Linked DNA regions of Pelodiscus sinensis. Each later gene encodes a partner of the first gene's protein in a complex. Links are inferred from orthologs where the notes say so. Each region holds a gene or a part of one and is shown in the gene's direction. Other genes may lie near its edges.

The links. Proteins that work in one complex are often made in the same cells at the same time.
Region 2: the proteins of GPR161 (region 1) and GNAL are in contact, whole or in part, in a cryo-EM structure (PDB 8KH4), measured with the Homo sapiens proteins. The link is inferred for Pelodiscus sinensis from reciprocal best matches to the Homo sapiens genes GPR161 and GNAL. Residues at the interface, in NP_001254539.1 of Homo sapiens: Arg125, Ala128, Val129, Leu130, Pro132, Met133, Tyr135, Pro136, Met137, Ile139, Ile211, Val214, Ala215, Lys218, Ala219, Lys267, Ala268, Thr271, Trp327, Asn328, Lys329, Arg332; in NP_001135811.1 of Homo sapiens: Ala41, His43, Lys203, Val204, Phe206, Phe363, Cys366, Arg367, Asp368, Ile370, Gln371, Arg372, His374, Leu375, Gln377, Tyr378, Glu379, Leu380, Leu381.

Annotation. Positions count from the first base shown.
Region 1 is NC_134711.1:149,448,564-149,452,308, reverse strand, and holds the start of GPR161 (G-protein coupled receptor 161), read left to right. Parts: upstream 1-1,427; 5' UTR 1,428-1,560; intron 1,561-3,745. UniProt on the Homo sapiens protein: Key negative regulator of Shh signaling, which promotes the processing of GLI3 into GLI3R during neural tube development.
Region 2 is NC_134712.1:86,762,808-86,766,552, forward strand, and holds the start of GNAL (guanine nucleotide-binding protein G(olf) subunit alpha), read left to right. Parts: upstream 1-951; 5' UTR 952-1,323; coding exon 1,324-1,795; intron 1,796-3,745. UniProt on the Homo sapiens protein: Guanine nucleotide-binding protein (G protein) involved as transducer in olfactory signal transduction controlled by G protein-coupled receptors (GPCRs).

The DNA of each region.
Region 1 (3,745 bases):
TCAGTTTGGGCAGGTTTCTTGGCATGAGTATATTGTTGGAATGAAAGACCAATGAATTCTGAAGCACATGCACAAAGGAATGTCACTATCCTGCTAATGATCACTTAGGTGCCAAAAGCTTTGGTGGTGCACTAAGATTGCTAGTGATGAACAAGCTGAATATCTAGCCAAGCCACCTTAAATATGTAGCCACAGATTGATCTAGGTGGCATATCATCAGCAAGGAGGCTGTGTCTTCTTGGCATTTGCTATGATGATTTAAGGAACTAGGAGTCAGGATGCCAGGTTCTATTCCTGGTTCTGCTACTTATTATGTGATGTTGGGCAAATACCTTCCCTGCTTCATACCTCATCTGAGCCTGCCAAATGTAGTGGTAATGCATATTAGATGCCTTTATGCTCATACAGTTTTACACACACACATTTCAAGTTACATCCAATTAGGGATGTAATAGTGTAGTCGATTAACCAATAAGGAAAAGTTTATAGGTTAATGCTATAGACTACATGCATTCCCCCCTCTTCCCCCTTGCCAGTACACTTTTTAGCAGGCTGGCCAGCCGCCCAGCTCAGTCCTGGCTTGCACTGGGTCCTGGACTTACCTCGCTGCAGCTCTGCCTTTAAAGTGTATTAGGAGCCAGGTGGGCAAGCAGCCTGGCTCAGTTCTGCCTTGTGCCAGGTCTGGGAGCTCAGACCCCTTCCCTCCAGACAGGGGCTGTCCAGGGACTATAGAATAGTCGACTAACCGACAAGAATTCATGAGGTTAATTGACTAGTGAATTAACCGATATTTAACATCCCTAGTACCAATGTCTACAGAAGTCTAAATTAGTATAATGGAATTTAAGTTATATTACATCCCTGAATTTGGTCTTGTGAGTCTGTATGAAGGGGGACAGGGGAAAAAATAGCAGAGGGGGTGAGAGAGTAGACCAAGGGTGAGCAAATAGCAGGGAAAAGTTGTAGCAGATTGGAAGGCGAAAAGAAAAGACACCTGTCAGGAAAAAAAAAAGTAGGAAGGGGGATTGCTGAGTGCAGAAACATGGGAAGAGAACAGGAAACTGATAGAGGAAAGAAAGGAAGGTGGGAAGAAAGATGAATGGAGGAGGGAGTGGAAAGCAGGGTGGGGGAGCAGAAGAGTGAAAGTGGGACAGAAGATGAAGGAGATGCAAAAATGGATGGAGGGGGTGGGAAAAGATGTGGAAAGGAGGAGAGAAAGTGTAGAAGGAAAATAGATGAGGGAGATCAGGAGGAGAGACGTGGAAGGAGATAGAAGGGTGTGAGGACAGGAGGCGAGGTGGGGGAGGAGGGATGTGAGGGGGAAAGGAGGAGGGGGTGGGGGAAGAGAGGAGGAGGGGTGTGGAAGGGGCACAGGAGGGGGCAGGGGGGATGTGTGGAAGGGGGATGGAGCCGGGAGGCGGGTCGGGCAGGTTTTCCGGGCCTCTGGCTTGGCGGCTGCTGTGGGGGGTCCCGGGCGCTGTAACCCGAAACCTCCCGCCCCTGACTGCAGCGGAGGCGGCAGGGGAAGGAGAAAGCGGCGCGGCGCGGCCCGGCCCGGCGGTGAGTCTGTCCCACGGCCCCGCAGGGGAGCGTGTGGCTGCAGCTGCAGCGCGGGGGCCTCCTTTGCGGGCTCGCCCAGCCCGCCGCTTCCCGCTGCCCTTTGCTGCCGGGGCCCTGCTGGAGGAGCCCGGCGGGGCTCGGAGCGAGCGGCTCCCGCCCCCACCAGCCTTTGTCTGCGGGGCCGGGCCCGAGGGGGAGGCTGCGCTTCTGGGCAGGGGAGCAGCCGAGCGGAGTGCGCCCCCCCCTCCCCCTGGTGTCCCGCCCCGAGCGGGGCCGCTGGGCCCGGGGAAGGCTGCGGGAGGATCGGGCCACGGGACCATCCCGCCCGGGCCGGAGCTCGAGTGTCCCTCGGAGCGGCAGGCGGGTGACACGAGAGGAGGGCGACGGGCCTGTGCACAGATGCGCCCCCGCCACATGCCCGCGGGACCCGCCTGCTCCGAGCGCCCTGCCGGCTTCCCTGCCCGCCCTGCCGCACGGCACCGGCTCGGCTTCGCCCCCCTCTCGCCTTCGCTCCGGCAGGAGCCGGCCGTGCTGAAGCCTTAGGAGAGTTCCTGGGCGCCCTGCGGCAGCAATAGCAGCGCCCCCGGGATTTCCTGCCCTCCCCGCGCTCTGGCTGCGAGAGGATACAGGGTGTTCTCTGCAGGGCCTGTCTCCATGGTTTGCTCTTCCCTGGCCTGCGTAGTGGGACCTTGTCTACATTAAAGAACTAGGGTGGGAACCCGTATTTGGAACCCCTCCCCCCCCAGTACTTCCTATGCCGACTTTGCAGCTGCACATACCACCCGCAGCTGCTCCCACTGGTGCATAAGCATTTGCTGAACACTCAGGACGGTGCTTACTTTGCCAAATATGGAGCAGTCCTTGTTCCCAGCGAGCCTGGGCCTGCTGCAGACAGGGGCTTGTCCCTGGCAGCAGCCTCAGTCTGTGGGGAGCTCAAACCCTCTGTATCAGAGGCAGCAGCATGGGGCTAGGGGATTGTGTGGGGGAATTGGTTTTTAAACTGGCTCGCCTGATCCACCAGCTCCTGTCTGCCATCCTATATTGCTGCCTCATATATAGAGGCAGCAGTGTGGGGTGACAAGAGGTTTCTCAAGAGTGGGAGCGGCCCTGCCCCTGGGTACTGTGGTATATTTGTGTAACTGCTAAGATTTCATGTAGTTACACAGACTACTCAATTACATTATATCTAACATCCCTACTCTGTGCCGCCTGACCTTCCTCCTTCATAGATCCTTCCTGAGTTCCCAGAGAAGCTGACTCTGGGCTGATTTATATCACTAGAGGTGTAGCTGAAAGCAGCCCAAGATCTTATGCACAATGTCCATGGTCTGTGCCAAATGAAATGCAAAGCGTAAACAATCAGCTCCACTGGTGGTGGGAAGTAAATGCAATTTAAAAATTCTTTTAATGTCAGTAAATTAATGTTTTCTTAACAAAACATGGAGAGAAATTTGTTTTTAAAAATGATTTTTTTCTCTTTTATGCATGCTGCCTTCCAAAATCTCAGTCAAAAATTGAAAAAAATATAAAAGGAAATTTCAAAAAAAGATTGTCTTCAAGTTCAGGCAAACTTGGTATTAGCATTTCTTGTGGAGTTGTGACTCACAGAGGCTGCTTTAGCTGGGAATCTTGCTTTCCATCCTTCTTGACTGGGGGGCATGAATATCCAGAAAGTGGCACTTTCTGGTGAATCACTAGCCTCCAAGAAATTTTAACAGCAAATTTGCATGAATTTTTTGACTTTCCCTTTTTATTTTTTTTTCAATTTTTGGCATGGATTTGGGGATGCAATATGTATATGGCTTCAGTGACAAAGCAGTGAGGGGGCTGTACATTATGTTCATACAGTTCCCTGCTTCATTGCGGGGGGGGGGGGGAGCACCATTGTTCACACAGGGGAAAGGTGGTAAAGCAGGAGTGACATTTTTGAGGCCGGAATAGAGGCCTCTTGAGGCAGCTGGCAGTGGAAGTGCCACTAATCAGGAGCCCAGAGGAATTGTGCAGGCCTACCAGGATGAAGGGTTAGTAGTCAGGAATCTGCTAGAAACAATAAAGGGAGATCATAATGGCTCTCATGGGAATCAGGAGCAATAGGGAGATGTTGGTCAGCTGGGAGAAGTGATAAAGCTTTAGGTAAGGGCTGTTAACCATTTTCATAATGTGAATGAGAGCTTAATAAAGGCAT
Region 2 (3,745 bases), on another chromosome or scaffold:
AAAATAAGCTACGCAAATTGAGCTATGTCAACTGAGTAATTTATTTCTAAACAGGGCCGGACGGAGGCATGGGCAAAGCCGGGTAGCTGCCCAGGGCACCAACCAATGAGGGGCACTTGATGGCAGCTGTAAGGGGCGCGCGGTGTCCCTTACAGCTGCCATCAGGGGCCGTGCACCCGGCTTCCGCAGCACCGGCGCCAGCCAGCAGCGCCCTTCCCCCCCACGGCCGCGGGGCCCTGCTTGGCTCTGCGCACGAGCCACCAGCGCATGCTGGGCCGGGCTGGGCAGCGCATGCACTGTGCACCCCGGGGGGGGAGGGCCCGCACCCCACAGGTGGGCTCACACCTGTGCCGTGCGCCCGGGGGTGGTGCTGTGAGCCCGGGCCCAGGGCACCAAAAGAGCTCGGGCCAGCCCTGTTTCTAAATAGCTTATTTTGAGTTTTGGTGATGTCTACACAACACTTATTTCGAAATAGAGCACTCTTCCTCCTACTTCCCTTACTTCCCTTAGTCCTCATAAAATGAGGGTTACGGGAGTTGGAGTAAGAAGTCTTCCAGCTTGACAGTATTTTGACATTATGTAGAAATAAGTGCCAGTGGAACGACAGAAAGTGAAGCCCTCAGTTTTTGCGACCGTTGCGGTTTCTGTGTTTCTGTCTGTGTAGATGTGGACTATGTTATTTCAAAATAACGCTAGTTATTTTGAAATAATGTTGCTGTGTAGACATTGCCTAAGGGTGAGGGTGTCAGGGAAGAAAGTTTACAGAGTGAGGGTGTGAAAGGAGTGAGGGTGAATGTATAAAAGAGGAAAGGGAGGAAGTTTACAGAGGGTGTAAGGGAACGGGTGAGGGGTGAGTGAGTGCGGGGGGGCTGTGCGTGTGAGGGAAGGCATGAGCGATAACACTGTCTAGGGGGCCGAGAGGACGGCTCCGGGCACGGAGGAGCCGGCGGCGCGTGTGTGAGGAGCTGGTGCGGGCTGTGACGTGCGAGGGGAGAGCTGTCAGGGTCTGTGGGAGGGGATGGCTGTGAGGCTGTCCGTGTGGGCCGAGGGCCTCCCTTCCCCGCCGCTCTGTGCCTGCGCGGTGGGCTTGCGCTGGGGTATTTACGGTAAGGTGGACGCGGCTGTGGCAGCTCCGTGTCAGGTGATCATCTGAGCCGAGGAGCCGCCTGGAGTCGGAGAGGAAAATGCAAGATGGCCCGACGGGGCCGTGAGGGGCTCCCCGCCGCCCCCTCCCCGCCCGGACCCCGGCAGCGCAGGGCCAGCGGCGAGCGCTGAGGCCCGCCCCGCCCCGCTAGCGCCAGTCCCCGGCAGGGGCACCGAGCCATGGGGCTCTGCTACAGCCTGCGCCCGCGGCTCTTCGGGGACTCCGGCGGAGGCGGCTCCATCTCCAGCGCCGCCTCGGAGCCCGAGCAGCCCGCCGAGCATACGGCCCCCCCGCCCCAGCCGCTCGGGGCCCCGCGGGGAGGCAGCTGCTGCGGGCAGCCGAGGGCCGGGGGCCCGCTCCGCCCTGCAGACAAGCCCGGGGGAGAGGCGGACGGGCCGCCGCCGCCGCTGCTGCTGCAGAACGGAGGCGGCAATGGGGCGGCCCCGGAGTGGCAGCCGCTGCCCAAGCCCGGCGGCGGCAAACAGCCCCGGCAGTCGCCTCAGCCCGCCGCGCTGCAGAGACCCTGGGAGAAGCTGCGCCTGGAGGAGCGGGAGGCGGAGAAGGAGGCGAGGAAAGTCAGCAAGAGCATCGACCGGGCGCTGAAGGAGCAGAAGCGGGAGTACAAGCAAACGCACCGGCTGCTGCTGCTGGGTACGTGTGCAGGGGGGAGAGCCGGGCCGCCGCCGCCACGCAGCCCCGGCCAGCAGGTGCCCACCCTGGCGTTCCCCATAGTCCTTCCTTTGTCTGGCCTTCTCCTTCCTCTTCCCCGCTCTGCTCCCCCACCCGGCCCTTCTTCTTTCTCCTTTCTTTCTCCCTTCGCTTGATAGCCCAGTCTTGCTCTTCTAGCCAGGTTTCCACCTTTTTTTCTTTCCCTTCTCTGTGTCTCCCCCTTCTTAGGATCTGAAAATGGTTTTGCTGTGGAGAAAAGGGTTTGTCATTTAGCCCCATAAAACGGCGAGCTGCTCCACCCAGTCAGCAAAGCAGAAGTGATGTTGAGACGGGAATTAGCAGGCTTCATTTTCAGCTGGGAGGAGGAGGAGGAGGTGTGTGTGGTATGCGGTGTGTGTCTGTGTTGTCTAGCCGGGAAGTAAACGGCGCTTGTGTTGGCATTTCAAGAATTCGAAAATCAGATGCAGGGAAGATGAAAATGGCTTTGAATATAATTTGAACATAATTTGCTCCGTCATAGAACTTCTTTTTGCTACTATGTTGGACTTCTGATGGCTTAATGGAAAGTGAAGTGCTAGGATATAATGGATTGGTAATTTTAAGGAAGGACTAGGGCATATACATACCCATACCGAATTACTTTCCCCTCATAGCTCCTACTTGTTCCAAGGATCGTTGGTGCAACTATCTTTTTTTTTTTTTTAAACCAACCCTGCACGGGTGACTTTTTTTAAACACTGTGCTGCTGACCATTTGCTCTTTACATAAATTAGTTAATAGTCTTCCCTAGAGGCTTAATCCCAGCTAATACCTCTGTGTGCTTTTATACTGTATGAGTATCTACTTACCTGAAGGAAATAGAATAGTTAGACTGCGATTTTTTTTTTTTGGATGATTTAAGCAAAGGGGTTCCTGTGCCTCCTGAGTGTAATAAGAAATCTCTAATTTGTTAGTGTTGAAATATTAATTTTTTTGTACAGATAAGTGTTCTGTATTTGGCTTAGATTTCTACATGCATTCCAGACTGGACAGGTATATTTATTTATACAGCTGTACTTTACTATTAGCGGATTCCTTCATTTGCCTTTTGGGGTAGGAAGAACAAAACAATGTAATATATGGCAGTCTCCAAGACACTTCCTTATGTTAAGGTGTAGTTGAACACCTGATAATTATTATTGGGAGGGAGGCAAATTTCTACTGTTTGAAATGCAGGATATAAAAACAGAAGTGGCCTGTAATACACGCTTGGCCTGTTCAACTTAAATGCTTAAGGTTTAAAATGTATGTCCTATTAAGAATTTTTTTCTGATCTGTAAAATACTGTGGTTGATACCAGTGTAGACAGAAGAAGCTGTTGTCACTGAACATTGGCCTGCCTCTTAAGAGCCTGTTGTTGTTCAAACAACAGGTTGCTGGCAAATAGGTGAAGTGAGTGTAGTCTGTAATGGGAAGGTAATAAAATAACAAATCAGAGAGACAAAAAAATCTCTAAGAAGGATGCTGCTTTTCCTCTTTCCCCTCCCAATAAGCTGATACCTATACCAACATTATTAGCTCAACGCTTCAAAAATCTGAATAGTAATTGCAGTCTAATCTACATCTCTTCCTGTTGTCAAATTAGGGAAGAGGCAATGATGTGCTGCTGTCCTAGGCCCCAGTACAGGAAGGATTTAACCATGTGCTTAACTTTTATGCACTGTGGTACACTGCTGAGGACTACTTGCAATATGTAAAGTTTAGCATGTGTGTCTTTTAGAACTGGGGCCTAAGAAATTGACGTCTCATCCAACATCTTGGACGAGTAAAGCTGCAAGTGCCTTGTGTTGCTATCACTATTCATGTTCTGCAGGGGGAAAAAATAGTAGCTTTTATGTCTAAATTATTAACTGAAAAAATGACCTTCCTAAAAAGTCTCTATATAGCAAAGAA